Stegostoma tigrinum: one gene and its partner. The protein of the gene in region 2 purifies or fractionates together with the protein of the main gene of each other region. This does not show direct contact. Links are inferred from orthologs where the notes say so. Each region holds a gene or a part of one and is shown on either strand. Other genes may lie near its edges. The genes, in order: adra1d and ctnnal1.

Region 1 (16,228 bases), on a different chromosome or scaffold from region 2:
CCCTCTCATAGTGCGGTGACCAGAAACTGCACACAGTATTGCAACTGTGGCTGAACTAATGTTAGATACAGCTCCATCACAATCACCTTGCTCTTGTAACCAATATCCTAACAAATAGAGGTAAATATCCCATGTGTCTTCTTAACGACCATGTCTACTCATCCTGCTGCCTTCAGGCACACCAAAGTCCCTTTTATCCTCCACACTTTCAAGAATATTGCTATTCATCAAGGGCCCACTTGGTTTGTTAGTCTTCCAAAATGTATTACCTCACACTTTTCAGGATTAAATTCCATTTGCCAAAATTCAGCCATTCTGACCAGCCCAACTATATTGTCCTGGAGTCAAAGGATTTCCTCCTCACTATTTATCGTTCTATATCATTGGAGAACTTATTGATCATATTCCCTACATCCATGATGAGATCTCAGTGGTTGAGTTTAAGGAGTGTCTCAATCAAATCTTTGTCCACAATGTAAAGCTTCAGAAAAAGATTGCAGCAAGATTTTATATTTGTCATAACTGCCAATGTCAGTATTTTCTTTGTATCATAGGAAAAATTAAACTTCCTTAAATCTGTATTTGGAAGGAGATTTTTGATTTCAGTGAATTTTTAATTCTGAAATGCACTGCCTGAAGGTGTGGTGGAAATAAATTTAATATTAACTTTCAAAAAAGAACTGGATGAATTCTTACAAAAAAAACATGCAGGGATATAAACAGCTCATGGAGTTAGACTAATTGGCTAAGTCTTTCAGAGAGCTGGGCCTGGCATGATGAGCTGAATAGCTTCTTTCTCTACTTGTTATTCCATAAAAGAACACTGAAGAATTCCTTCTGATCTTTCCATTTTAGTCGCAAGTTGTTCTGTTGTACTGTTTACCTAAGGCTGCAAACTTTGTACTGATGCAGGGACTTCTATACTCTGAGGTCACATACTAGGTATTAGTCTTATGATATCCAAGTATTACTTCAACTATAATGCAATTTAGGAAGGACTTGCCTAAAATGGAATCCAACAAAATAATATTAGCTAACCCTAAAATATCAGTCCACAGTTAATTTGATTCAAATTCAAATTAGTCAAATAACAAGTAATTATCATTTGCTTCAAAATGATATACTTGTTTATGGGTTTTTAATTCAAATTTAAGTCATTAGTGCGACCAAAACTTTTAAAACTGAAACTTCATATTCAAGTTAAAAATTTAGATCACAGAAACAAATGTTATTTCTATTTGTAAGATACGTGAAACAGTCCCTCTTCTGCAGCTACACTGGCACTATCCCCCACCTCTTCCTCCGTTACATTGATGACTGTATCGGCACCGCCTTGTGCTCCCACGAGGAGCTCACAGTTCATCTACTTTATTAACACCTTCCACCTGAACCTTAAGACCACCTGGACCATCTCTGATATCTCACTCTCCTTCCTGGACCTCTCTGTCTCCATCTCTGGTAACCACCTGGAAACTGGTATCTATTTCAAGCCCACCAATTCCCAAAGCTACCTCGACTACACCTCCTCTCACCCAGCTTCCTGCAGGAATGCTATCCCTTATTCCCAATTCCTTCGCCTCCGCCACATCTGCTCCCAAGATGAGGTCTTCCACTCTGAGACATCCCAAATGTCCTCGTTTTTCAAGGGGCCCAATTGCCCCCCCACACATTGGTCAAAAATGCCCTCGACCACATCTCTTGTGTTTTCCGCACCTCAGCCCTCGCACCCCCTCCCCCCAATAAAAACAAAGACAGAATCTCCCTCGTCCTCACGTATCACCCCATTAACCCCTGGGTTCAACGCATCATTCTCCGCCACCTGCAATCTGACCCCACTGCGAAGGATATATTTCCGTCTCCACTCTTATCTGCCTTCCGGAGGGACTGCTCTCTCCGTGACTTCCTCATCCGCTCCACACTCCTTACGAGCCCCACCGCTGCCGGGACATTGCCTGCAACCGCAGGAGATGCTACATCTGTCCCTACACCTGCACCCTCACCTCTATCCCAGGCCCCAAGGAAACCTTCCACATTAAACAGATGTACACCTGCACATCCGCTACTGTGGTCTATTGTGTCCACTGTTCCTGATGTGGCTTCCTCGACATCGGGGAGACCAAGCGGAAGCTCAGAGACCACTTTGTGGAGCACCTCTGCTCAGTCCATGACGAACAACAACACCTCCCAGTCACGAACTACTTCAATTCCCCCTCCCACTCACTGGATGACATGTGCATCCTAGGCCTCCTTCAGTGTCACAGTGATGCCACCTAAAAACTGGAGAAACAGCACCTCATATTCTGCCTTGGAACCCTACAGCCCAATGGTCTCAATGTGGGCTTTACGAGCTTCAAAATCTTCCCACTCCCAATCTCATCTCGAGACCAGTCCCCCCCTGTCCCTGCCTCCTTGACCTGTCTGTCTTCTCTCCAACTATCTGCTCCACTATCCACCTTCTATCATTGCCTCCCGCTCTCTCTATTTATTACAGAACCCCCTTCCCTTCCCCCATTTCTGAAAAAGGGTTCAGACCCGAAATGTCAGCTTTCTGGCTCCTCTGATGCAGCCTGGTCTGCTGTGTTCATCCAGCTCCACACCTTGTTATCTTATTTCAATCCTGAATGTCACCCTTTTTCTGTTGGTCTGCCTGGTTTCTGTTGCATTTCAGTTAGTCTAGCATGATACAAGTAGTGCACGAATTATATAGAAAACAATTATCCTAAAATGAACATTAAATGAAAAGAAAAATCTGTATTTTTATAGCATCTTTTCTGAGCACTTTCCAGATCGTGGAGTCTTTAACAGTCAGTGGAGTCTGTTTGCAGTATAGTGTCCTTGAAATGAAGGAAATGAAAGTTCGGTAACAGGATAGCATATGCCTGTAACTCTGCTAAAAGTAAGTTTTGTGTTAGTCCACCAACACCCTAAATGCGTTTGTTTAGGAAATAATTAAAATCCTCACTCCAGAAATAAAAGAAAAGATTATGCCAAATGGGCTTTAAAAGGGGATGTTTTCTTAACCAACCTTACTGAATCCTCCAAGCATAACAGAAAGCATAGACAAAACTATTGTGGTCCACTTAACGTATTTGCATTTTCAAGAAGTATTCAATAACACACAACGTAGCCGAAGTCAGGGGAGAAAATGGATAGCAAGCCGGTAAAGAATCCAACTGCAGGAGATAAGGGATCAGGTGGGCAAAAGGTGTCCCAAAAAGTGCTGGGGCTACTGAGGTTTGCAATTGTCATCATGATAGGAGTGTGCAAATTGAATGAACAATCTCCATATTTGAGGTGACACCAAATGTTATACTTACTAAAGGATAAAGGTGAGCAATTTTGTATTTGTTTGTTTACAGAACTGTGGGTGTCTAAGGTTAGACCAGCATTATTGCCAATCCTTAACTATCCTTGAGAAATATATGAATGATATAGATTATAAACAAACTGAGAGAATTGGTAATATAATGAAATGAGTACAGGAATATAAATAGGTGTCAGGGTGGTTTATTTGGTTGCAGAAATAAGGAGGACACATACTCCTTCAATAATTGGAGTGTGAATGAGATGCAGGATCAGACAAAAGTCAACAGCACAGATCCATACCTCATAAAAACCACGGAATGACTAAAACTATTAAAAGTAACTATACCGGTTGGTAAAATCATAAAAAGCAAACTAAGCACAGGCAATCATTTGTAGATAGATAGAATTGAAAAGCCCTTAGGAATCATGATCAGCTTGAATCAAAGTTTAATGAAACGAGAAAGCTTGCAGTTCCAGTCTGAGTATGATTAGAAAGACATCGGAGATGATACAAAAGAGATTCTTGAGGATGACATCAGAACTGAGTGGATCTTTAATTTCAAAAAGCAATCTCCTAGGCATCTTTTAAGATGATAAAACAGTTTGATAGTGCAGCTGCAGAGAAAATGTTCCCATTTGTGAGGAAGTGTTAAAGGTTATAAATGTAAGATATTATTTGATTAATAAATGAATAAGTTGAAGAGAAAATTCTTTACCCAAAGAATGATAAGAAAGTGGAACATAATGCTGATATAATAGACATAAATAGCGCTACATTTAAAGGAAGATAAGAAAACTCATGAGGCAGGATCACGCTCAACTGTAGATTAAATGCTAGCATGGATTGATTTGGTTTCTGTTTTGTAGCCATATTATAAATGCAGTTAGACACAGAAAACAAAATAGTACACTGTAATTATAATACCAATCAATTATTTGTACACCTGAGACAAAAGTACACCAAACAGCAAATTAGGGATATCAACAACATAATCAATTACAGGGCAGTTAAGAACACACAAACTATCCACTGAATTTCTCTGAAGATGTAGCAGACCTAAATTTTGACAGTGTTCCTTTCCAAATGTAATACCAAGGCAGAAAATGTTCATTAGGAAAACTGAAATCCCTAATAATGTGACTCAACTTTAACAAGTCTCTATCTTAATTATTTCAATGACCTTCCCTCCTCAATAAGGTCAGAAGGAGGGATGTTCACTGATGATTGTGTGCAATGTTCAGCATGATGTGCGACTCCTCAGATACTGAAGGAGTCCATGCTGAAATGCAACAAGGTCTGGACAATATCCACACTTGGGCAGACAAGTGGCCAGTGACATTGGCACCACTCAAATGCCAGGCAATAACTCTCTAAAGTAAGAGACAATCTAACCACAACCCCTTGACATTTACGCAGAGAGTTGTGGGAGCATGGAATGCGTTGCCAGCAGCAGTTGTGGAAGCAAGGTCATTGGGGTCATTTAAGAGACTGCTGGACATGCATATGGTCACAGAAATTTGAGGGTGCATACATGAGGATCAATGGTCGGCACAACATTGTGGGCTGAAGGGCCTGTTCTGTGCTGTACTGTTCTATGTTCTAATGGTGTTACCATCAACAAATCCCCTATCAACATTCTTGTGGTCACTATTGACAGAAACTCATCTGGACTCACCCCCATCAACACATGGGTTACAAGAGCAAGTCATAGGCCAGGATTACTTTCACAAGTAACTTCCCAAAGCTGTCTACTATCTACAAGGCACAAAATCAGCAGTGTGATGGAATACTCCCCACTTAGTTGGATGGTTGCAGCTCCAACAACACTCAAGAAGCTTGACACCATCCGTGACAAAGCAGACCGCTTGATAGGCACTACACCTACTAGCATCCACTTCCTCCACCGCCGAAGCTCAGCAGCAGCAGATGAGTACAAGATACACTGCAGAAAAGATTCACCAAAGAACCTCAGACAGCATCTTCCAAACCCATGGCCACTTCCATCTGGAAGGACAAGGGCAGTAGATACATAGAAACACTACCAACTTGCAAGCTCCCTTCCTAACCTCTCACCATCCTGACTTGGAAATGAATTGCTGTTCCTTGACTTTTGCTGGGTGAAACTCCTGGAATTCCCTCCCTTAAGGCATTACCAGTTAATGCACAGCACATGGACTGCAGAGGTTCAAGGAGGGAGCTCACCACCAACCTCACAAGGGCAACTAGGAATGGGCAGTAAATTCTGGCCAGCCAGTAAAAACCCACATCTCACCAGTGATTAAAACAAAACAATAGAATGCCTAGGTGTGAAGTCCCACTCATAAATTTCTACCAGAAGAGTGGCTCCCATCGGGCTCTAAATTCTGGTTCTGTGCTTCATTCCTATAGATCAGGAATTATGCATTCCCAGTGCATTCTGCCCGCCTGAATTTAATCTGAGCAGCGAGTCTTTGGGAGGAACACAGCATGTCAGGCAGCATCAGAGGAACTGGAGAGTCAACGTTTAGGGCCTAAACCCTCCATCACCCCACCACATCCAGCTCCACACTGCATTGACTCAGACTCCAGCATCTGCAGTTCGTGCTATTCCCGGGATTTTGGCGGGAACGTCAGTTTCTGATTTAAAAAAAAAGACAGTGGAGCATTTTAGTTCTGAGCTGCCCGCAAATGAAACTTGTACCGTGCCACCTTCGAGAGGCGATCACCAGTTAGAATCCAACAGGTCATGAATAAAACTTCGCCCCCACCTCCCCCCATCCCACCTATGGGAAAGTAAAACTCAAAGGATTGATTGGACTGACTGAGCCGTGACCCACCCCGACACTCTTCGATGAAAAGATGGCGAGGCGCCTGAAGCGCTGACTAACCTGCCAGGACGTGATGGGAAATTAGGATGCCTTCCAAATGAAGTCTGTGCCACCGACAGGAGGGTTGGAAGTTTGAAAAGTCGGCATGCGTCATCTGGGTATGAGTGATCTGGATCTCAAAATCAAAACCCGAACACCGTCTCCCTCAGAGTTAGCCGATTTACAGTGAGGTGGGACAAGGAGTGATATGTAATAGTACTGTATTCCTTCGGTTTGCGATGGCACAGCGGCAGTAAACCCAGGTTCGAGTCCCATGTGGTACACAGTGAATCTCTGAACTGCCTAATAGTGGGATAGAGTCAATAGAGGTGAGAACTCACAAGGTTTCAGAATCAGAGAGAGTTGCAACACAGAACCAATGACATTGAGCTACTGAGACCCATGACATGTGATAATATCTGGACTTTGCTGATAATTCTGAAGCGGAGATGGACACACACACACACAAACACAGAGACACATTTACAAGGTTTGTCGACCCTTAACTCTTTAACTCTGATTTCTCTCCGCGGATGCTGCCTGAGCTTTATCCAGCAACATTCTGGTTTATTTTTAGTTGGTTTACACGCAGCTTGACCCTGTTAGAAAGTTCCCCACCCCGTTTTGATCCCGCGCTCTCCCTCACGCTCTACCTACCGAGCGGTAAGATGGTGAAGAAGGGAAGCCAGCAGAGGACGAAGACACCGACCACGATGCCGACGGTCTTGGCCGCTTTCTTCTCGCGGGAGAACTTGAGGAGGCGCATGGACAGTGAACTGCGGAGGGGCGGCGGCGCCTGGCCCCTGGCCCTGAGGGTGGAAGCCGGCTCGTCCCCCGGCCCGGCCGCACTCCGGCAGTGGATCCTCAGCACCAGCTCGGTGCTGTTGCCCCCTCGCTCCCTCTTGACCCCGGCCTCCAGGCTGCGGGTGGTCCTCCGGGCCACCACGTAGATGCGGCAGTACATGGCCAGGATGACGGTGAGGGGCAGGTAGAAAGAGAACAGCGACGAGAAGAGGGCGTAGCCCGGTTCCTCGGTGATGCTGCACAGGGTGTCGTCGGCGGGAGCGGGCTCCTTCCAGCCCAGGAGGGGTCCCACCGAGATGACCAGGGAGGAGAGCCAGAGGAGCAGGAGGATCCAGACCGCTTTCCGCTCGGTCATGATGGCAGGGTAGCGCAGGGAGTAGCGTACGCCGATGTAGCGGTCGATGGAGATGGTGCACAGGCTCATGATGGACGCGGTGCAGCAGAGCACGTCCACGGCCGCCCACACATCGCAGAAGGGCCTCCCGAAAGCCCAGTAGCCGAACACCTCGAGGCTGGCCGAGAACGGCAGGATGGTGGCGCTCAGCAGCAGGTCCGCCACCGCCAGGTTAACGATGAAGTAGTTGGTGACCGTCTGCAGGTGCCGGTTGCACGCCACCGAGAGGATCACCAGAATGTTACCGGCGATGGCGAAGGCGATCAGGGCGCCCAGCACCACCCCCACGGCCACGCCGTCCAGTCCCGCCGCCCCTTCCTCACTCGACCTGTTGCCGGCTCCCCCCGAGCCGTTACCGTCCACACTCCGGTTCGTCCACTCCTCCCAAGTCATCTTAGAGCAGCCAGGCTCTCCATTGGAATGGGATTGTGTGTGTGTGTGTGTGTGTGTGTCGGGGAAGGGGGGGTGGGGGGAAGATTTGGGCAACTTCTTCCCCTGCCCCGCACACCCAAGCTTTGCTCAGGGGATGGGCTCACTCATTCCTCACTGGACTTTAACCCCCTCAAGCCCTCCTGCATCTTCTTCCTTCTCCCATTTACTTCGCGCTGTAACTTTTACTTTCCCCTCTCCCTTTCTGTCTCTCAGCGGCTCACTTTATCCACACAAGCCCAGGTTAAGAAATGTTGCTCCGTCTTTCCACACCCCTTCGGACAGACAGAGAGAGAGAGAAACAAACCGAGAGAGCGGTCAGAAATATCGCCCACGCTGACCACTAACGAAAATCTCTTCAAAGCAGTTGGATGCTGAAGCTTGAAGATCACTTTTCAATCACATTAAACCTCGCCTCCTCGGGATGGTCCCAACGTCACGGGCTCTCTCTCTCTCTCTCTGTGTGTGTATGTGTGTGTGTAGGGGACACTGACAGAGGGCGGCAAAGAGTCGGCTGCTCTACCCCCCCACCCCCCGACCCCTCCAGAGCCAGCCAGCATCCCCAGTTTACTGAAGGAACATTAAAAACTTTTTGATTTCTCCCCATGGATGCTGCCATACCTGTAGTTTTCGCTTTTTAGGCTGAAAACTCCTCTTCTGCACTGATGAAAACTCACGAAAGTCTTGCCCTGTGTAAAAGTAAGGAACCGAAATCTCCATAAATTTTCATATGAGCGCTGTGTCGAATCTCCACGTGAGGATTGGTGCCGGGGCTCGATTGCTGTCTTTTTGTTGAGTTAATTTTTCTAGCGCTTTTTAAAAATTACATTAAAAAATCATTTCTGTTTTTCAATAACAAGCCAGTTTCTCTTCTCTTTTGCCGCTGAACGAATAAAAATTGAAATTGGTATTCCAGATGTCAAGTTGAATCCCTGGAAGGTAAATATTACTGGGCGGAATTACCAGTTCTGTTGTAATAATCCTTTAATATTAACTTTAATTATACGATTACTTTCTGCCAATTTGATTCCATTAAACGCATTGCTTAAACCGGGCTATACGCTTGTGACACGCAGCGACAAAATTTGTTTTGTTTTTAATTCAGTTCAAAAGTGAATGATTCAGTGTCGGAACTCGTTGCTTTCATTAGTCTCGATATAACTAAGACGGCGATTTGCTTAGGAGAGGTGAGGCGGAACTCATCGAAATGTCTCAACTGTTAGCGCACGTTTTGGGGTTTCTGTAGCAACATACATTAATGTAAAATAAATATTCCGACCAAGACATGGTCGAGTAAAACATGGCATTGAACAGACTTGTTTATTTATGTTTTACGCAGGAAGGTTGAAAACAGTCGCCTGACCAGTGTAGAAAATTATCAGAATGGAAAATGTCTGATAATGTTCTGCCCTCTCCTCTAGCTGAGGACCTCTGGCTCTCCTTGCTTCATTCGTTTCTTTAGCTTCTGTGTCGCGCTCTTCTCTCGAGCCCACATCTCTTTCAACCCTTTCTCCATCAATGTCCCCGTCTGTTTTTTTCGTCTTGTTTCTGTACCTCACTCCACTTCACCCCACCACCCCACCTCCTGGTGTCCCCGGCTCCTCTCACGGACTTTTCTCTGATCTTTCCATCCCCAGTTCCCGACTCCTGTTCTATCTTGCCCCCGCCTTGCTGTCGCCTTCCAATCGTCTCTAACTTTGTTCTCTCGGCTGCTTTGCCTGTTATTGTCCTCTTCAACAGCTAACTCTAACTTTCTGACTGAGCGAGCGGACTCGATTTCTTTCATCTCCCCTCCTCCTGCCTCCCGCTCCCTCCTGCCTCCCCCATCCCTCCCTCCTTTCTGCCATCCCTTCCTCCTCTCCTGCTGGATCTATGCCTCCCACCGGAAAGGTCCGGGGAGACTCGAGCCCAGTCATTCCAATTTACAGGGGACCATTATAAGTGTAGTGGGATTTCTGTTCGATAAATAAAGGAGTGGGGGAATTAAAACACACTGTATTGGTAGCTCAAGGTTGCATTATGAATGATTAGCATCGAAGATATCGGTGGTCGCCCAGCGTGACACGGAATTTTATTCTGTCCCGCGTTTGTCTATGAAGCGAATACAAGCGCAGATTCAGATTAGTACACAATTATTGTTCTGAACAAATCGGGGAATTAATCGTTGACTCATAATTCAGGTCAATCTCCTTAGATTCCCAGCATTTGCTGAAGACTGGAATCCATGTTTCCCTGCTCCTTTTATATCTAAGGAGTCCCGTGGCTGAGATTTTACCGAGAACCATTTGAAGGAACAGAAAATCTAAAGCTATTTGCACAGAAGGAGCCAGATTTGTCTCAAAATCTCGCCCCATTCGGTCTGGGAGACCCTGGGGAGACAGTCCCGAAATCAGCCCGATATTAGTGCACCCACACTCAGTGAAGAAGTCACTGATCGACCCGAAAGGTCATCAATGCTGGCCGCTGCTCAGCTCGTCAGTCCGAAAACAAAATCCTCTGCTTGGTCTCCTTAATAATAAAAAAAACCACTCTTTCCCTTGACCCTCGCAGTGTTGTAAATCTCCTCAATATCACAACCCGCGAATCGACCCTTAAAATGTGCGCTGGGAGGACATTAATTCGCGAACACAGTAACATTTCTGAAATCTCATTCCCCCGCCCGGTCTGGATCACAGAAATACCAGAAGTCGCTGATCTGTCCCCGCCTGGAGTGTAAATCCAACAGAAACCAGAAGCGGGCTGTGCCACTCAACTATACACCGCCCCACAGCTAACAGTCTACTGAGCAGAACCGATACAAACAGAATAGATTAGAAAAGAATAGCCTTTATTGTTACTTAGTAGTAAGGGAATGGAACGCTTTGCCTGCAACGGTAGTAGATTCGCCAACTTTAGGTACATTTAAGTCGTCATTGGACAAGCATATGGACGTACATGGAATAGTGTAGGTTAGATGGGCTTGAGATTGGTATGACAGGTCGGCACAACATCGAGGGCCGAAGGGCCTGTACTGTGCTGTAATGTTCTATGTTCTATACAGGAGTACAGTGAAAAGTAAAGTCTCTGCTAAAAGCAGTAACTGTGGACGGAGACAGGCAGCGAGTCATTACAGGAGCTGCAACAGTGCCCGAGGGTGCGGCGGACGTCAGATTTAATCTAGAAGCGAGTGAAGTTGTTATCACCGGAAACCCCAATTGGCAGGTTACACGTGGTGAGATGCCATTTGACAGTTGAAGGCGCGATGGGCCGACTGGGCTCACTCTGGATTCCGACTGTAAAGCGCAAGTTGGGCCGAGACAGAAATGTTAATTCCCTCTGAAGTGGGTGTGTGTTGTAACGATAATAGAGCAATTTCTGGGACAACAGGGAGGGGGATCTGCATCCCTTGGGAATTTTGTTTTACCCTTTCAGTGGCTTTATTCAGTTAAAGGATCGCAAGTCCACCGCAGAATGAATTCAGAGAGCGTGGACCATTCAGCCCAACTCGCCTGTGCTAGGGCTGCTACTCCACAGGTGCCAACTTTAATTTCCTCTGCTTCATCAACCTTTCTCTATATCTAGCTATTCCGTCTTATTCCATCTTCTTGTTTAGTTTACCTCTTAAAGTTTCTAAACAATGTCCCTCAACCACTGATGAGGTCGACATGCCAATCATTCTCTGAGAAAGAGATGCCGTTTTCACCTCCCATTCTTTTGCTAATAGTCCGACATATTTGCATAAAATGGAAACCAGAATCCTGAGTTTGGACTCTGCACAAATTTAACATTGCATCACCAATTTTGAATTGAACACCAGAAGTAACCTCAGTTTTTTTTAGCATTTTTAAACATTGTTTTTCATTTGTAACATTGCTTTCAATTAATCCAGCCCATGGGGACTCTTATTTTCTCATACTGAAGAGATGTTTCTCTTTTGCTTACCCAAATTGCATCACTTCAAAATCATCTATACTAAAGTTCATTCACCATGTAACTTCTTGGTCTGGGAATCGTCTAATACCCTCTTGCATTCTTTTGCTTTCCTGCTCATTGTTCTCACGGTCTGGCATCGTCTGCAATTATTGATCTTGAGGAAGTTGCCCCGAAGTCCAAAGTGTGAAAGTATTTTTTTTAAAAAGTTAATGGGTTGGTCTCAAAGGCAAGGCCAGCATTTGTTGCCCATCTCTAATTGCACTGAACAAGATGGTGATGTCCCCCGCCTTGTGCTGCTGCAGCCGTTGGGGTATAGGGAGCCTGCTGTGGTGTTAGGAAGGGAGTTCCAGGATTTTGATGCAGCACCAGTGAAGGAACAGCAATGTGGTTCCAGAGATAATGGATGCTGGAGAATCCAAGATAACAAAGTGTGGAGCTGGATGAACACAGCAGGCCAAGCAGCATCTCAGGAGCACAAAAGCTGACGTTTTGGGCCTAGACCCTTCATCTGATGAATGGTCTCGGCCCAAAATGTCAGCTTTTGTGCTCCTGAGATGCTGCTTGGCTGCTGTGTTCATCCAGCTCCACACTTTGTGAGCAATGTGGCTCCATTTGACTTAGCTTTTCAAAATTCATTTGTTTTTGTCACTCTAAACAACCTTCAACCACTTCTTTAGAATAGATTCCAATCGTTTTCATAACGCAGATGTTAAATCGACTCACCCCTAGAGCTGAGATAATGGGAACTGCAGATGCTGGAGAATCCGAGATAACAAAGTGTGGAGCTGGATGAACACAGCAGGCCAAGCAGCATCTTAGGAGCATAAAAGCTGATGTTTCAGGCCTAGACCCTTCATCAGAAAAGGGGGATAGGGAGAGGATTCTGAAATAAATAGGGAGGGAGGGGGACGCGGACTGAAGATGGATACAGAAGAAGATAGGTGGAGAGGAGAGTATAGGTGGGGAGGTAGGGAGGGCATAGGTCAGTCCAGGGAGGACGGACAGGTCAAGGGGGCAGGATGAGTTTAGTAGGTAGGAAGTGGAGGTGCGGCTTGAGGTGGGAGGAGGGGCTAGGTGAGAGGAAGAACAGGTTAGGCAGGCGGGGAAGAGCTGGGCTGGTTTTGGGATGCGGTGGGGAAGGGGAGATTTTGAAGCTGGTGAAATCCACATAGATACCATTAGGCTGCAGGCTTCCCAAGCGGAATATGAGTTGCTGTTCCTGCAACCTTCGGATGCCATCGTTGTGGCAATGCAGAAGGCCCATGATGGACATGTTGTCTGAGGAATGGGAGGGGGAGTTGAAATGGTTCGCGACTGGGAGGTGCAGTTGTTTATTGTGAACTGAGCAGAGGTGTTCTGCAAAGCGGTCCCCAAGCCTCCGCTTGGTTTCCCCAATGTAGAGGAAGCCACACAGGATACAGCAGATGCAGTATACCACAGTGGCAGATGTGCAGGTGAACATCTGCTTGATGTGAAATGTCGTCTTGGGGTCTGGGATGGGAGTGAGGGATGAGGTGTGGGGGCAGGTGTAACACTTCCTGCGGTTACAGGGGAAAGTGTCAGGTGTGGTGGGGTTGGAGGGGAGTGTGGAGCGGACAAGGGAGTCATGGAGAGAGTGGTCCCTCCGGAAGGCAGACAAGGGTTGAGAGGGAAAAATGTCTTTAGTGGTGGGGCCGGATTGCAGACGGCGTAAGTGTCAGAGGATGATGCGTTGTATCTGGAGGTTGGTGGGGTGGTATGTGAGGACAAGGGGGATTCTCTTTTGACGGTTATTGCAGGGGCGGGGTGTGAGGGATGAGGTGCGGGAAATGCGGGAGACATGGTTGAGGGCATTCTTGACCACTGCGGGGTCCCTGCGGTTGCAGTCCTTGAAGAACGAGGACATCTGGGATGTGCGGGAGTGGAATGCGTCATCCTGGGAGCAGATGCGGCGGAGGTGAAGGAATTGGGAATATGGAATGGAAGTTTTGCAAGAATTTTCCACTCCTACAGACAAAGGGGGTGGCCATGGGTACCCGTATAGGCCCAAGCTATGCCTGCCTCTTTGTAGGTTACGTGGAACAGTCCCTCTTTCGCCCCTACACTGGCCCTAACTCTGCCTCCGTTACATTGATGACTGTATCGGCGCAGCCTTATGCTCCCAAGAGGAGCTTGAACAGTTCATCCATTTCACCAACATCTTCCACCCCAACCTTCAGTTCACCTGGACCATCTCCAACACACCCCTCACCTTGCTGGACCTTTCTGTCTCCATCTCAGCGAACTACCCACAAACCGACATCCATTTCAAGCCCACCGACTTCCACAGTTACCTGGGATACACCTCCTCCCACCCACCTTCCTGCTAAAGTTCCATCCCATTTTCCCAAATCATTCGCCTCCACTGCATCTGCTCCCGGGATGAGGTATTCCACTCCCGCACATTCCAGATGTCCTCGTTCTTCAAGGGCCGCAACTTCCCCCTCGCAGTGGTTGAGAATGCCCTCGACCGTGTCTCTCACATTTCCTGCACCTCATCCCTCACACCCCGCCCCTGTAATAACCAGCAAAAGAGAATCCCCCTCGCCCTCACATACCACTCCACCAACCTCCAGATACAACGCATCATCCTCTGACACTTCCGCCATCTACAATCCAACCCCACCACTAAAGACATTTTTCCAACCCCACCCTTGTCTGCTTTCTGGAGTGACCACTCTCTCCGTGACTCCCTTGTTCGCTCCACACTTCCCTCCAACCCCACCACAGCTGGCACTTTCCCCTGTAACCGCAGGAAGTGCTACACCTGCCCCCACACCTCCTCCCTCACCCCCATCCCAGGCCCCAAGATGACTTTCCACATCAAGCAGATGTTCACCTGCACATCTGCCAATGTGGTGTACTGCATCCGCTGTATCCGGTGTGGCTCCCTCTACATTGGAGAAACCAAGCGGAGGCTTGGGTGCTGCTGTGCAGAATACCGATACTCGGTCCACAGTAAACAACTGCGCCTCCCAGTCATGAACCATTTTAACTCTCCCTCCCATTCCTTAGATGACATGTCTATCCTGGGCCTCCTGCAGTGCCATAATGATGCCACGCGAAGGTTGCAGGAACAGCAACTCAAATTCCACTTGGGAACCCTGCAGCCTAATTGAATCAATGTGGATTTCACCAGCTTCAAAATCTCCCCTTCCCCCACTGCATCCCAAAACCAACTCAACTCGTCCCCACCTGCCTAACCTGTTCTTCCTCTCACCTATCCCCTCCTCCCACCTCAAGCCGCACCTCCACTTCCTACCTAATAACCTCATCCCACCTCCCTGACCTATTCGTCCTCCCCGGACTGACCTATCCCCTCCCTACCTCCCCACCCATACTCTCCTCTCCACCTATCTTCTCCTCTATCTATCTTCAGTCTGCCTCCCCCTCTCTCCCTATCTATTTCAGAATCCTCTCCCTATCCCCCTTTTCTGATGAAGGGTCTAGGCCCGAAATGTCAGCTTTTATGCTCCTAAGATGCTGCTTGGCCTGTTGTGTTCATCCAGCCCCAAAATTTGTTATCATCCTTAGAGATCACATCTTGTTTTTACTCACATGGAACCCATTTGTTGGATGCATGTCCACTGGCAATGTACCCGTTACAGTCCCAGTATTTTTATAAACTAGTAACTCAGCTATCCCATCTCTAATTTCCATAAGTTTTTTAGAGTGCTTACCATTATGACTTGGAAATTTATCCCATGTTTGGCTTCTGATATTGTTTTATTTTTTTCCCCTCTCTATTTCAGTTGTATTGTTGTAGTAGGGCCCTGGGTAACGCTGTAGAAAAGAGAGACCTAAGGGCTCGTGTACATAATTCTTTAAAATTTGCATCACATGTCGACAAGATGGTAAGGAATGCATTTCGCATCGTTGCCTTCAATGCTGAAACTTTTGTGTATCGGATTTCGGACATTACATTGAGGTTGTTCAGGATGTTGGTGAGGCCTCTTCTGGAGTACTGTGTGCAGTTCTGGTCACCTTGTTATAGGAAAGATATTATTAATTTGGAGGCGACTCTGAAAGGTTTACCAGGATGTTACGGGAATGGATGGTCATGGTTATAAAGACAGGTTGGATAGGTGGGGACATCTTTCACGGGCGGTTGAGGGGTGACCTCATAGAGTTTATAAAATCAGGACGGGCATAGATAAGATGAATAGCAAGTGTATTTTCCCAAGGGTGGCGGAGTTCAAAACTAGGGCGCATATTTTTAAGGTGAGAAGAGAAAGATTTAAAAAAGACAACGAGGGGCAGCTTTTTTACCCAGTGAGTGGTTTGTACGTGGGATGAACTGCCGGAGGAGTGGTGGATGTGGGTACAGTTACAACATTTAAGACATTTGGACAGATACATGAATAGGAAAGGTTTGGAGGGATATGGGCCAAAGTGAGACTAGTTTGGTTTGGGAACATGGTTGGTGTGGACTAGTTGAACTGGATGGTCTGTTTCCATGCTGTATGACTGTTATTATCCTTTTCAAACTCATCCAGAAGTCTTATTGCTCCCTTAGTT
Region 2 (16,314 bases):
GCTGCCAGAGGAAGTGGTGGAGACTGTACAATTGTAACATTTAAAAGGTATCTGGATGGGTATGTGAATCGGAAAGGTTTAGACGGATATGAGCCAAATGCTGGCAGCTGGGACTAGATTTATTTAGGATACCTGGTTGGAAAGGACAATTTGGACCGAAGTGTCTGTTTGTATACGGCAGCTGTATGACTCGATGACATCAGGTTTCATTAACAGGAAAGTAACTAGTTATAAATCAAAATTACTGTTTAACAAAATGAGGAAAAATTACCAAGTTACTATGATGTGACTTAAACTGCGACTGAAATCCCCAAGCATATATATTCATTCACAAATAAAAACAAACAAAAATAGACTATTAGACACAAACATTACACGGTAGAAAAACATAAACAAAATAAAAATACTTTCCGTACATCAAATCCAGACCACAAAGATGGGATATGTTATTTCTCAAAGTTCTTTTGATTCTTAGCAGTGATGACATCATCCAGCCGCACAGCATTGGTCAATCAGGTGGACCTAGCCCTTTTGTGGAATTCTTTCCTTTTAACAGTTTCCAGGTTTTTGGTCATTTTCCATATAGGGAGTGAAGGGACAGAAAACTTTCAATGTTTGCGAGCTTACATTGCACTCTCAGGCCTGTGACAAAAGCGCGGCTGGAAAAGCCTGAAACCTGTCATCAAGCTGTTTTCCTTAACTCTGAGACAGTCTCAAAGTACACATCTCACTACATCACAAACCTTGCATAGCTAAAGGGGACACCAACAATCCTACATGACATTCATTGCCAAATAGCTGAAAGGAGAGTTTTTTGTAATGTCCAACTTCTGTTTTTCAGTTTATAGTCCATAAAGGAGATATATGTAGCTTAAGTAAGGAATTATCAGCAAGTCTAATACAAATTAAGAGTTAAAATGTGCTCTAACATTTCATGGCTAACTATTAAGGTTCGTAGTTCAGAATATTCCAAAATCTCTGCCTCTAGCTGGAAGTTGTGAACTTTGTCAGATGGTTTAAAATATCCTCTATCCTTTGGAAGTTTACATATCCTGGACAATTACTGCATCATCAGTGCATCAGGTCACTCAAGTAGCCCAGATGCATATCTTTCAAGCCAAATTCAACCCTTGACTATCCAAAGAACAGAAGATCCAGGCCACAAAAAGCAATCAAGTAAATATTATTAAACCTTGACGGGTCTGAGTATAATCTTCTCAATAAGCAACTGCAGTTTTAGGGTTGCTATGGTTGGAACCAACACATTTTTCTACTTAAGAAATAGGGGTGCAAACAGAAACAAATGTAGAATTGCAGATGAATTAAAATTGACTCCAGTGGTTATGCATGGAACTGTACAGGGTGAATACGGTCACACTGTATATTTTCACAGTACACTTCATGTTTCAGTTACTGCATTTATTCTACCTGCAAGGTGTTGTTCCAGTAAAGTGATATTACCTGATAAAGAGCTCCACAGATTGAAGAATTGTTCATGTAGCTTTCTACTATGGAAATCTGGGACTGATACTAAACAAAAGGGAGCTGCTGCAGTAATCTTTTGTCACTGTTACCATCAGCTAGTCATAAATGCAAAACTTGTTTAGTACCAGGCTAATCTTAGCTCCATGGACAACCATCAATTCAGTCACAATTCTCCAATTAAACTTGATGCAACAATACTAAATCTGGAGAAAGATGAGCTTAATCAGTTTGGCAGAATAGACATTTTTTAAATGTCAATGTTCAGTGAGATTTAGCAGCACTCACAGCGGAAATGCAGAAAGTTGGTAGCAGATGCACAAGACAATTAGGAAGATTCATGACATGTTGACCTTTAGTACAAAGGGATTAGCATGAGGGAGTAAAATAGTCTTGCTACAATTATATTTTGAGAGCATTCCTGAGTACCATATACAGCTCTGGTTTTGATATCCAGGATGGAGACATTTGCTGGGGGAAGTACATTGGAATAAATCTTGTGAAATCTTCAATGACAGGATTGGCCCATGATGAGAGATTGAGTACACTGGGTCTAGTCCCCAGAGTTTCCACAAGAAATAGTAAGAAGAAATTATTCGGCCACTCAGACCTGGTCTAACTTTCGGTGCAATTATGGACCAGACCAAACCGCTTTAAATATATCAAGGAGATAGCCTAGACCCCAACTTTTATCTTGTTTAAAAGGCAAGTCTAAGGTGCTGTATTCCAGATGTAATTGGATTGGTTACACTACTCGAATTAAAAAAAACTCTACATTCTTACCCTCATTTAAAATACAAACAAAAGAAATAAGAATTGCTATAACTTTAACTCAATTGGAAAACTCAGCAAAATAATGGATTATTTAACTACTAAACACATTGAACTCGGCCTCATATACATTCCACCATGGAGGAAACCCGGAAGTGAGGCAATCCATCGCAACGGACCCCAGAATTTGCAAACCAGGCAGGAAAACACACCGACACTTCAACAGCGGCTGCACTGAGGATGGTACCAAGCATGGTAAAGAAACATCTGCAGAACAACAAACCAGCTCAGCCAGCCAACCAACCTCAACACATTTAAGCACAATATAATAATAGTGAGCCACATTACTGAGCAAAGAAGGTAGCAATTTTGACCCAAAGCTGTCTATGCTGGTACTTTTCAAAGTGCTATCCGGTTATTCTATCCCTTTGCTTTTCTGTGATAGTCTTGGAAATTTTGTCAGAATATACAGCTAATTATCTTTTGAAAGTTACAGCTACTGTGTGTGCTTTTGCCACCTTTTCAGGTTATGAATTCCAGATCATAACAACACGCAGCACAACCCAATCCTCATTCCCCCAAGATTAATGTGTATATGTAGAGTACTCTCTCGAGCGTAACAGTTTATATCAAGGACTTTATTCTGGAATAAGTGTAGATTTAAATTTAAATTGTATTAGATCAGTATTCAACACTGTGACTGACCAGCCTATTGCACTCAATTTGAGTAACACTTTCAGAATTTTGATTTTTGTGTCCTCTAGGTATGTGTAAATACTCTTGGATATGCATTGAAGCGGGAAGAAAAGCCAGAGAGTTATTTTTAACACATTTGAAATTCCTGATTTGAAACTGATTCCAAAGTAACTTTCAAAAATAAGTTAGAGGGGAGTGGAATCAAACAGCAATAATGCGCAATGTATGAATGCAGGCATCTGTAAAGTCTTGTGCTACCAATCCATATTGAAGCACATAGTCTTGTTGCTGTTTGAATGAAAGCCCTTTGAAAATAATCCTGTCAAACTGATAATCAAATGTAAAAATTGTCACCAAGTACACTTCAGGAATTGCTAGCAGTGTTGATGCACGAAGAACCATCATGGCAATATTCAATGTTTCTAGGCAACATTGGCATCTGTTTGTCATTTTCAACACTAAGGCATAATGAGTACATCACAACACAAATCTCATCATCATGTCTCATTGTACATCTTAAAACGCAGCAAGATATCCTGCAGTAGCTACAAATTTTAGTAGCACTCAAAGTACTGTATATCATCTCAGTATTGCTCCAGGTACTAGCATTAATAAGTCTTCAGGATGGACCAAGGGCTATGTGATGGAAGACTCAAGTCAAGTTCTGTAATTATGTGGAAAATAAATGCAGACACCCATTTTTAATAACGAGAAAAATGAGTGTGTTTTCATGTTACAACTATAAATGCTGCTTGTTCAAACATACATTTTATAATCACATTTCAATAGTACAATACAAAGAGTACTCAGTGCAAACTTGAGTGATTGAGCACAGGGGCAATTGCTTTCTACCAATGGTCGTATTGGCTGAAATAAAATTGCATTTAAGCAATGGACCAAAGGAAAAGAATTGAAGCTCCTCAAAAGGCCAAGCTCTCAACGCCACAACACAATATAAACTCTAAGTTCTAAATATCTGCTTTTTCTCAATGACCTCTCTACTCTTCCCTTTCAATTCTGACATAAATGTTCCTTCAATGTACAAGAAAATAGTAAGTCAGAAACTTTCATAGAAATTGCCAAATATTCATATTCCACTGAAATTTAACTCAAATTTTAAAAAATTATTTGTGCATCTTTTGCAGGCATTTTCTGTCCCAACAAACCAGAATTTGCTGTACCACAGCACATATAAAGTAACTGCCAAACATGAATTTTGTTCTTAAACATGTGAGTTTTTAAAAATGTGCATAGCCAGTTACTGGAAGTATGATCTGACAATACTTCAGCAGAGTATCTGGGACCTGGCTCAAACTGTAAGCAGCTGCACATCATATTACCCAGTCAGAATGGAAGATTATGAAATTCACAGTGCAAAGACTGAGAAGCACGTACAGGTTAGAATGGGGAAATTCATATTGGGTGCAGTAGAAGAAATTTTCATTGTTGAAGAAAATGTAAAACTTATAAAAAGAGAAGTAAAAATGGACAGAGGTAGGAACACAAAAAAGGAACAGTGCAAGCTGTTTTAAGTTTTACATTTTCTTCAACAAGGAAAATCTGAATGAATGAAACTCACACTTGAAATAGCCCATTTTCATTGCTAGAGAAGTTGATTGATCATGGTTAACACATCATAAGTAGGTACGGAGGCTAAAATGGTCAAGACAACTTTCTCTGCTTAGTTGATTCTAAAATCTACAGGAGAGTGAGAATTTTGTGCTATCTGACACAGTTCAATGATGAGCCAGATAATGAGATGAACAGTGCAGCAACAGCACCCCAGTAGCAACTTTCAAATGTCCATGTTCCATTGTGCCTGAAGTCACTGTAATATGTGTACATCAATAACACTGAAAGCCATTAGCTTAGCAGTAGCATTTTTCAGAAAGCTTAATTTGTGACAGGAAATGAATATTTACATCCATTGCAAATGTGATGTTTAGACAATACTGTAGTACAATGTTCACATTCATGGAAAATGTCATGAATCCATTTTGCTTGGTCCACTTTCTCATGTGTTGCTCAGAACATCTATTGAACTGCATTTTCAACGATTTAAACAACATCAATAAAATTAATCTTACAAGAACAAATTAAATCAGAATTCAAAAATCTATCAAAGCATATGGTTTAATCTGATATATAGGAGAAAATTTGGTGATCTTAAGAGGTTTCTTTCAATAACCCAAGTTCTCTTTCTTTGCCTAATTATATACACATAACAGCGGGATTATGCGATTTGCTGGTGAAAAGGACAACTAAGACAAAGGTGTCATAAAAAGCTTAAACTGCAAAACAAACATTATGAGCACATGCTTCAATTTAAAGCATCTGCCGGTAGAAAAGTGGCCAGAGCTCGATAAAGCTCAGCCTTGCAGAGTTGTGCTGGTTGATTTAACAGAGTGATGTGAGCGAAAAACCATCAGCGGATCACGAGTGGACATTCAGCAAGTTCCCAATACACATTTGTGGACGTTGCATTATTTGTCATGACGAAGTTGTGTTCGGTTTGGAAGTTAAACGGGAAACAATACGTCCCTGTTCTCCGGTGAAAGTCAGTGTTGCTCTCTCCGAAAGCTACTGAGTTTGAACTTTCCAGTAAAACACTGGCTCCATTCTGTGAACTGCATGCCTCTGTACTTTTTCCTGTATGTCTACATGTCCCTGTGGGGCGGCAGTACATTCGCGTGTGGCCTCTCACCGGCTGCAATGTGCTGTCAGAACGGTTCCCTCCGGATAAAATAACCACTCCATCCTCTCCTGCTACATGGAGTGGAGGTCTTTAACAGAGCTGCACGTTAGCTTTGAGCACGGTACAATGGGAAAAGGGGGCTGCCAGCACAGGGCACTTTAATCCATCACCTCTCCTAACAGTGCGGGAATGAGTTTGTTGAGTAGTTATACCCACCTGAAAACACTAAAATCCCAACCGTTGAAGATGCCAAGGGATTAATTTTATACATCACCCATGCTTCTGAGGGTCCCAGGACTTCTATATTCACGTAGCTCTGGGAGCCACTCAGTTCGTTTAATGTGGGTCTCTCCGCATGCTTTCGGGGAGTCTCAGATCTTTTACAATCTCATTGATATACCTTCGGTGGAGGGGGCTGGGGGTCAGAAGTCCCTCTCTTTTTACTTGAAGGGGGTGTCGGAGAGATGCCCCTGCTCCCCTACCCCTATGTGGCGACCCGGAATCTGCTCATTTACCCGGAGGGGTCTCCTGCCTAGCTTTCATTCTGCGTTGCCCTGAGATCCCCCTGCCTCTCACTCACTCAGTCCAGCGCTTCTCTCGCCCTCCCTTTTCCAGCACACATACCTGAGTCACCAGGGGGATGAGGGTCTGCTCCACCGACCTGGTTTTGATCTCCAGTCCGGGATCGGTGTTGCAGTGGGAAGAAGCCATGATACCGCTGAGTCCGCTGGTACGGCTGCAGATGCAGAGCCGATCTCGTTCTCTCCCTCTCCCTCTCCGAGTGACTGAGAGGCGGGAGAGAGGGAGTTGCGTCTCTTTCCGGCTGTAGGAGGAGCTCTGGAAAGTGTTGAGAGGGGATGGGGGAGGTAACAGTGTTGGGATTTGAGTTTTCATTGGTGCTCTGACTGTGGTACATACGGTTTTCTCGTTAAAACGTGGTTTCAAAACAGCAAATGCCATTGAGTTCATTGGCGAGCTGCAGTGTGGTGCTCAGAGGAAGGGAAGCAGCGGCGGCGGCCACTGCTGGTGACCCTAGCAGCCCCAGGCACACAGCATCGCTCCAGAGCCATGCCCCGCACCCTTCTTCTCAACTTTAACACCAACTCCGGGGTCATATTCACAAAACATGCAGCCTCAGGCTGGTTACTGCACTCTGCTGCTGGGTTCCTGAGAAAGGTTACTCGCAAAATCAATCGGAAACCAATTTCCCTTACACTTCTTGCCAAAGATAGGTAACTGCAAAAAAAACTCAATCTTTTTTTGGTGGAGGTGGTTTTAGCTTAAATCTGTTTCCGTTTGTATTTTTGATTTGCAGACGTGTTTAGCAACACAGCTGCCCTCACTGTCTGTGCTCAGGTTGGTCTAACCACTTTGCCATTTGTCTTTTTTTCTTGAAGTATGTTTTACTGTACTTCAATCCCACATAAACGGGATCTGGTCTTGTTAAATTTTGAAGATTTGCAGTGATAATCTTATCCTTTTGCTCCCTGACGGGAAACAGGCATTTGATAAGGTTCCCCATGGTAGGCTCATTCAGAAGGTCAGGAGGGATGGGATACAGGGGAATTTAGCTGTCTGCATACAGAATTGGCTGGCCAACAGAAGGCAGCGAGTGGTAGTAGAAGGAAAACATTCTGCCTGGAAGTCAGTGGTGAGTGGGGTTCCACAGGGCTCTGACCTTGGGCCTCTACTGTTTGTAATTTTTATTAATGATTTGGATGAGGGGATTGAAGGATGGGTCAGCAAGTTTGCAGACGACACAAAGGTCGGAGGTGTCGTTGACAGTATAGAGGGCTGTTGTAGGCTGCAGTGGGACATTGACAGGATGCAGAGATGGGCTGAGAGGTGGCAGATGGAGTTCAACGTGGATAAACGCGAGGTGATGCATTTTGGAAGGTTGACTTTGAAAGCTGAGTACAGGATTAAGGATAGGATTCTTGGCAGTGTGGAGAAACAGAGGGATCTTGGTGTGCAGATACATAGATCCCTTAAAATGGCCACACAAGTGGACAGGGTTGTTTAGAAAGCATATTGTGTTTTGGCTTTCATTAACAGGGGGATTGAGTTTAAGAGTCGTGAGATCTTGTTGCAGCTCTATAAAACTTTGGTTAGACCGCACTTGGAATACTGCGTCCAGTTCTGTTCGCCCTATTATAGGAAAGATGTGGATGCTTTGGAGAGGGTTCAGAGGAGGTTTACCAGGCTGCTGCCTGGACTGGAGGGCTTATCTTATGAAGAGAGGTTGACTGAGCTTGGTCTCTTTTCATTGGAGAAAAGGAGGAGGAGAGGGGACCTAATTGAGGTATGCAAGATAATGAGAGGCATAGATAGAGTTGATAGCCAGAGACTATTTCCCAGGGCAGAAATGGCTAGCACGAGGGGTCATAGTTTTAAGCTGGTTGGAGGAAAGTATAGAGGGGATGTCAGAGGCGGGTTCTTTACACAGAGAGTTGTGAGAGCATGGAATGCGTTGCCAGCAGCAGTTGTGGAAGCAAGGTCATTGGGGACATTTAAGAGACTGCTGGACATGCATGTGGTCACAGAAATTGGGGGTGCATACATGAGGATCAATGGTCGGCACAACATTGTGGGCTGAAGGGCCTGTTCTATGCTGTACTGTTCTATGTTCTATAACTACAAGACTTTGTCGGCCAACAAGGCTCAGAACTGTGGTGGGAGCATTGGTTTAAAAGATACTGGTTTAAATGAATTGCGGAAGCTCGAAATCTTAAGCAATAACAGAAATTGCTGGAAAAGCTCGGCAAGCTATGGAGAGACAAGATGATCAGAGGATTAGATAGGGTGGACAGTGAGAGTCTTTTTCCGAGAATGATGACTTCAGCTTGTACAAGGGGCACAGCTACAAATTGAGGGGTGACAGATTTAAGACAGATGTCAGAGGCAGGTTCCTTACTCAGAGAGTGGTAAGGGCATGGAACGCCCTGCCTGCCAATGTAGTTAACTCAGCCACTTTAGGGGCATTTAAACAGTCCTTGGATAAGCATATGGATAATGATGGGATAGTGTAGGGGGAGGGGCTTAGATTAGTTCACAGGTCGGCACAACATTGAGGGCCAAAGGGCCTGTTCTGTGCTGTATTGTTCTATGTTCTAGAAAGCAGGGCCAACGCTTGGAGACACCAGTGACTCTTCAACAGAACTGAACTTTGCTTTCTCTCCACAGATGCCACCAGATCTGCTGAGTTTCTCCAGCAATTTCTGTTATATTTTAAATTATGGTTGTTGTACCCAGTCATAAGTATTTGAAAATTTTGATATCACTGCAAAATATAGTACAGAAGTGATGTTTATGTCTGTCTTCTTGGAATAATTTAACCAATACACTCACAGATCCCAGATAACAAAGTGTAGAGCTGGATGAACACAGCAGGCCAAGCAGCATCTTAGGAGCACAAAAGCTGACGTTTCGGGCCGAGACCCGGATTCAATTCTAAGTGATCAAATTTGAGAGTAATAGCAAACTAACAAAAGCATTATTCAGTCTGAGAAGGTGGTCTGGAAACTAGAAAATAAGTTGAACAAAGGTGAAAGTGTGGAGAACAGTGCTGCACATTTTTTTGAAAAAGCACCAAAAGAAACTATTCCATGAAGTGTGAGAATGACTAAGATGAAGCAGAAGGGAGGTTTCATTGGAAGATCACAGACCTGAAATGTTAATTGTGTACCCCAATCTTCACAGATGCTGTCAAATGTGTCCAATATTTCTGGAATTTTCTGTGATTTTAGATTTCCAGCATCCATATTACTTTGCCATTGCCAAAAGAGAGCCATTTTTTAAAATAGATTCAGCACTCACTACTATAACAGCAACACAAATATGCCATTCCGCACCTCTAGATTCTTCAAACATTCCAGTAGGTTGCAGTTAATTTATATCTCATTTTTATTTATAAAATTTGATCTACGTCCCTTGATACCCTTGCCTAATGAAAATCTGTTAATCTCAGTATTAATGCAGTTAATTACAATTCAAAATTGATCTGATTACACTTACTTCTGTGGCTATTTTGAGCATAAGAATTCCACATTTTCAACTAGACTTTGCGATCACTCTTGCATCATTTACTTTCAGTTTTATCCATAAAATGCCTATGTCACTGTCAAGTCTGACAATAGTTTTGGTGGGGACATAACGGCAAACCATCTTCTTGAATGTTACTGGATGGTTTATGAAGCCATTTTAAAGGCCAGTCCATAGTCACTGCTTTTGCTGTGTGTCTGAAGCCATAAATAGACCAGACAGGAAAAAGGTGGCAGATTTTCTTCTTTTTTTCTTTTCTTCTTTTAATGACACTCATGAACAAATACATTTTTATAACGCTCTTGTAGGTTTATGGTCCCCATTATTGATACAAGCAATTATTTAATTGAATTTAAATTCTCTAGCCATGATGGCATTTTAACTTGTATTTCTGGATTGTCACTCTGTTTCTCTGGATCAGAGGTTTACTAACATGACCGCTCTGTAATGAATCTACAAATGTTGCTCCTTGTCTGAATTCCTTCAACAGACAATATTATTCCTTGGCACTTACCTCTGCATTATCTCAGCGGGAAATGGCCTGGTGGTATTATTGGTGGACTGTTTATATAAAGGCCCAGTAATGTTCTGGGGACTCGGCAGATGGTGGAATTTGGACTCAATAAATATCGAAATTAAGTGTCTAATGTTGAGCATGAATTAATTGTCAGAAAAACCCATCTGATTCACTAATGTCCTTTAGGGAAGGAAACTGCCATCCTTACCTGGTCTGGCCTACATGTGATTCCAGATCCACAGCAGTGATTATTTCTTGGCTGCCCTCTGGATAATTAGGGATGGGCAATAAGTGCTGGCCTGGCCAGGGATTCCCTCATCCTGTGAATGAGTGAAAAAAAATTAATGTTTTTAGGATGTCAAATACTTTCAGTTAGATTACCACCCAAATTTGTGTTGACAAGGGAATGCATGTGACGTTATTGGATGCTGTTGCTGAGGCCAGATCATTGTTGTGCTCAAAATCAAATGCTACATGTCAAATGGGAATAAGTATGAGCAACTTTTAGCCATAGAGTGCCGTTAGAAGCAATTCCAAGAAGGATCATTTGTCTCATTTTTGGAAGAAAATTAATCTTAGGAAGAACAGTTGGACAAGTTGTGATCATCTCCATTGGAGTTTGGATGAATAAGAGGTGATCTTCTGAAACACAAAACATCCTGGGGGAATTGATAGACTGAATACCAGAAGGATTACACTTAAACTTGTGGGGAAACTAGAATTAGGGGAGTCAGTTTAAAAATAAGACCAAGATGAGGAGAAATGTTAGTCTTTCAAAGGGTCATTGATCTTTGGAATTCTCTTCCCCAGAAAGTGGTGAAGGCTCAGTCATCAAATTTATTCAAAGGGAAATTAATTAGGTTAGATGTTTTCGGGTGATGGGGGAAGATAGAAAGGTGAAGTTGAGAACACAGCTAGATCATCCAAATGATTGAATTGCTTACTCTGGCTCGTAAGCCCTATGTTCAAAGTTCCATTGACTGTAAACATATTTAAATGTTCAAAAGCATTTCACAGGACCATCATACATTTGACACTGAGCAACATAAAGAAGAATGAGGGCAGAAAACCAAAAGCTTAGTCAAAGAGCTAGTTTTCAAAGAGTGTCCTAAAGGAAGAAAATGAGCAAGATAAACAGAGAGCCTCAGGGAAGACATCTCAAATATTGGACTTTGATAGTAGAAGGCACAACTGTGTGACCTGGATGTCCTGCTCTTTATAGTCTAGACAGTGACAATAAAGGTCATTCATCCAGACTGAGCAGGCCCAGAAGATGCTAACTGACAGCAGAATCATATCGTCAAAGAGGCCTTTTGGCCCATTGCGTCTGCACTAACAAAAACTACTTTAACGCTATAGGAGATCCACTGGTGTCGAAGTATGGAAAATGCAGGGTGAATTTATGAGAGCAATGAAAGGGCAGGACAAAATGTTGGCAGACAAGATTAGGGAGACTCCCAAGATATTCTACAAATATATCATGGGAAAGAAGATAACCAGGGAATGAGTAGGGTCCTTTAGGGACCAAGGGTCAAACCGCGTGTGGAGCTGGAGGGCATTGGTAGCATGTTAAATGAGTTCTTCACATTTCTCTTTACTCAGATGATGGAAAATGCAAGTACAGAATTTTCAAAGATGGACTATGAAGTTATTGAGCAGATTGATATCAGAATCGATGAGCTATTGGAGATTTCAGCGGTGTTAAAAGTGGTCTATGGGAGTTATATCCCAGTTGTCTCCCAGAGCAGCCTGGGATACAAGGGGGAAAATTAAAGGAACCCTGGCCCAAATTGTAAAACCATCTCTACCACTGGGGAGATGCCAGAGGACTGGAGGATAGCTAATGCAATTTAACTTTACAGGAAGGAAGTGGAGATAGGTAAGAGAACTATAGGTAATGGATCTACTATCAGTGGAAAATCTTGGAGAAAATACTGTAGGACAAAATTAATATCCATATAGAGACATAAGATTTGACCGTAGACAGTCAGCATGGCTTTGTCAGAGAGAGATCATGTCCAACAAATCTGGCAGAATTTTTTTGAGGAGGTGATCATGCATGTAACTGAGAGTATAGCAATGAAGATTGATAGAGGTCTATGAGATTATGAGGGGCATGACCAAAATGGATAGAAATTGGCTTCTCCCCTTATTCAAAGGGTCAATAGAAAGGGGACACAAATTTCAAATGAAAAGCAGGAGGTTTAGGAAGAACTGGGGGAAAACCTTTATCAGTCAGGGGGTGGCAGGGTCTGGAATGCACAACTTGGGAGGGTAGTCAAGGAGGAAAACGTCACAATGTTTTGAAAAAGTGCTGAGATGAGCACCTTAAGTATCATAACATTCAAGGCTGTGGGCCTTGTGTGATTAGTGTAAGAAGTGGTGTATGTTTGTCAGTACAGACTTGATAGGCCAAAGGACTTCATCTGTGCTGTATGATTCTATGATTCTAAATACTCATTCAAGTACTTTTTAAAGGTTGTGAGGTTTCCTGCCTCAACTACCAGTAAGTCCATTCCAGGTTCCCACTACTCTCTGGGTGAATAAATGTTTTCTTTTACTCCCCTCTAAACCTTCTGTCTTTTATCTTAAAATTATGTCCCCTCGTTATTGACCCTTCAATCGCCTGTCATCCTCTCTAAGCCCTCACTCTGTTATAAAGAAAACAACCTGACCCGCAACATCAGCCTTCCTGCTCCTCTGATGCTGCCTGACCAGCTGTGTTCCTCCAGCTCCACACTGTGTTATCTCTGACTCCAGCATCTGCAGCTCTTGCTGTCTCTAAAAGATCAGTTATAAATTTGGCGACCTTCCCCAACTTCACAGCTACTTCCCATTCAGCGTTTGTCACTTATAAATATTTTGAAGAATTTTGTATTGTAGAAGCTGCTTCAGGAATGCATTTTTTTGGAAGTTAAAAGTAAATCTTTTAACTGTTCAGTGCAGTATACAATTTAGCCTTTTCTAAACAGTCTGAAGTACTCCAGCTGTTTAGTGTGCAGTGCCACAGTAACACAGAATTATAACTAAAAAGAAACTTGTGGTTTTCAGAATATTTGTGGTGTCAGTACAAAGTGGGATTAAAAATTTGGAAAGAAGACATGAGGATGTCAAAGGGAGAAACCACAGCAGATGAAAAGATGACCTGGCAGTTAAGTAGCAGCTGTAAGTAAACAAGCAGAATGTGTGTGCATCAATGGCATGGACAGAGTTCACTTTAAGCATCACTCTAGTGAATGGGTAGTTACCAATGAGTGAAATTAATAACTAAGCACATGTTTTCTAAAGTGACAATGTTTTCCAGCAACCACATATATATTCCACATATAAATTCTAGGTAAAAGTGAGAACGCATTTTTCCCTTGTTACCTCCAGTTCCTCACATTTTGATCAACAGTAAAACAACATGCCACAGGTAGAATAACTAAATTATAATACTATACTTGTGATGTTATTCAAATGGACCAACTCATTTATAATATTTTCTGTATAATGAAAAGTTGAGGATAAAGTTGTCATAGTCCTACAGGACCACAGGGTTGCTCTCTCTTACAGAGAGTTGACTAGAGTCAAAAAGTAATACAGCATGGAAACAAGTCCTTCAGCCCAAACTGGTCCATGCTGATCAAGGTGCCCACTCAGCTAGTTCCAATTGCCCGCATTTGGTCCATACCCCTCCAGAACCTTCCCATCCATGTACCTATCCAAATCTTTTTTTTAAATGTTGTTATTGTATCTGCCTCAACCACTTGCTCTGGCAGCCATTCCACATGAGCACCACTCTCTGCATGAAGAAGTTGCCCCTCAGATCCTTCTTAAATCTTTCCCCTCTCACCTTAAACCTATTCCCTGTAGTTTTCAACTCCCATCCATAGGAAAAATACAATGTGTATTCATCCTATATATGCCGCTCATGATTTTATATACCTCAATATAGTCATCTCTCATTCTCCTACATTCCAATGAATAAAGTCCTACCCTGGCCAACTTCTCCATACAACTCAGGCATACTATTCCTGGCAAAATCCTCATAAATCATCTTTGCACACTTTCCAGTCCAAATTTGTGTGACCAAAATTGTACACAATACTCCAATTGCAGCCTCAGAAATGACTTACACAGTTGTAACATAATGTCCCAACTCCCATACTCCATGCTTCAACCAATGGAGGCCAGCATGCTAAATGCCTTCTTCACCACCCTGTCCACCTGTGATGCTGATTTCAATGAACTATGTACTTGTACTCCTAGATCACTCTGTTCCATAACATTCCTCAGGACCTTACCATTTACTGTATAAGTCCTACCTCGGTTTGACTCCTCAGTGCAACTCCTCACACTCATCTGTATTAAATTGCATTTGCAAATCCTCACTCCAATTCCCCATCTGACCAAGGTCCTCCTGTAATTCTTGATAACTTTCCTTGCTATCAATGATACCACCACTAGTGCTGGTTTAACCCAGGGCCGCCACACCTCAGGTAAGGGGAGAGGTTGAGTTGAAGCCTCCTTCATGGTAACCTCAGCCAATGCAGAAATTGAATCACCATTTTTGTCTAAAGACACGGCTGTGACATTAGTTTTAATTTTCCAAACTGTGCAAATTTAAATTTGGTTGGAAAATAGTGAATGTAACTACTTTATTCAAAAAGAGGGAGAATGAGAAAAAGCAGAAAACTACATTCAGTGAGATTTACATTCTGTCTTAGAGATGATATTAAAAACCTATGATTAAAGAAGTTATAGCAGGGCACTTAGAGAAGTTTGAGGTAATCTGGTAGAGTCAACCTTGTTTGGTGAAAGGGAAGCCATGTTTTACCAAATTATTGAAGTTTTTGAGACAGTAATATGTGCTGGAGATAAAGAGGAACTAGTAGATGTATTGTACTTAGATTTTTAGAAGGTATTTAATAAAATGTCACTTCAAAGAACATTGAGGAAAATAAAAGCTCATGGTGTAGGGGGTAACAACATCCCTCAGTTCTGAGGAAGGATCACCGGACCCGACACATTAACTCTGTTTTCTCCTCCACGGATGCTGCCAGACCTGCTGAGCTTTTCCAGCAACTTTGTTTTTGTAACATAGTTTACTGGGTAGAAGATCAGCTAGGAAATAGGCAGCATAAATTGCTTTCTGGTTGACAAGATATAATGTGTGATTATGAGCAAGTTTAGTTCTGGTGTCCTAACTTTTTATTATTCATATTAATGACATAACCCTCTTTCCCATGACTCCATGTTTGACTCAATTCTTTCCAGTTTCAACACCTGAGCTAAAACTGCAATTATCCATGTTAAAATCACAAATTCTGTCCTGTTTCTTTAAGCTGGGTACACTTTTCTTCCTCATCATTCTTGTCCTTCCTTCAGCTATTGACATGGTGGACCAGATCCTCCCTCATAGTTAGGCTGACCTATTGAGCTGCCCTAAATTGATTCCACCTTATAATGACAGAGAATTTCTACTGGTGGTGTAGAACACCTGAGACGTGAGAGAAGTGAGTAACATGCAGAGATTGAAAGTACCTGTGCCCATTGGTAGTCAAGTTTATGATACATTTGAAGGTTGACTAGCTCAGTTAACTGGATGACTGGCTTGTGATGCAGATTGATCAAAATCATGGATTCAATTCCTCTGCTGGCTGGAGTTACCATTAAAGTCCCATTTTGTCAACTCTACCTTTTGCCTGAGGCAAGGTGACCCTAAGGTTAAGCTCAATACTGTTTGTTTGTCTCTAATGAAAGATTCGCTCTGTCGCAATTCATGACATTCTAGTCAGTGCACATGAGTGACTGTACTTTAAGAGGGATATGTTCTATGCTGTTGCTCTTACAGAGAGGTATTGTCATAGTGGTGATAAAATGTCTGCTTCAGATAGACAGTTGGTAAAAGTTTGGAGTTAAACCTTCATGTTTTGTTTTAAAATTAGACAAAAGGAGCATGAGTGGGCAGGGTCAGGCTCACACAACCAAGGGATTTGGGCTTTGCTTTCAGTTTGATTTTCACTTAGTTGAAAATTTCTGCTGGCTGCTGAGCTAAAAGTTTGAGCTCTCAGCTGGAATGAAGTCTCAGATAGTGAGGCTTCCTCTTAAAAATCAAATAAAGCAGATT

The links.
Region 1: the proteins of ctnnal1 (region 2) and adra1d purify together in Homo sapiens (tandem affinity purification; 3 studies listed by IntAct, with this or other methods). This does not show direct contact. The link is inferred for Stegostoma tigrinum from reciprocal best matches to the Homo sapiens genes CTNNAL1 and ADRA1D.

The regions. Positions count from the first base shown.
Region 1 is NC_081354.1:171,205,298-171,221,525, forward strand, and holds the start of adra1d (alpha-1D adrenergic receptor), read right to left. Parts: upstream 8,179-16,228; 5' UTR 7,745-8,178; coding exon 6,811-7,744; intron 1-6,810. UniProt on the Homo sapiens protein: This alpha-adrenergic receptor mediates its effect through the influx of extracellular calcium.
Region 2 is NC_081355.1:106,359,559-106,375,872, reverse strand, and holds the start of ctnnal1 (alpha-catulin), read right to left. Parts: upstream 6,460-16,314; 5' UTR 6,356-6,459; coding exon 6,269-6,355; intron 1-6,268. UniProt on the Homo sapiens protein: May modulate the Rho pathway signaling by providing a scaffold for the Lbc Rho guanine nucleotide exchange factor (ARHGEF1).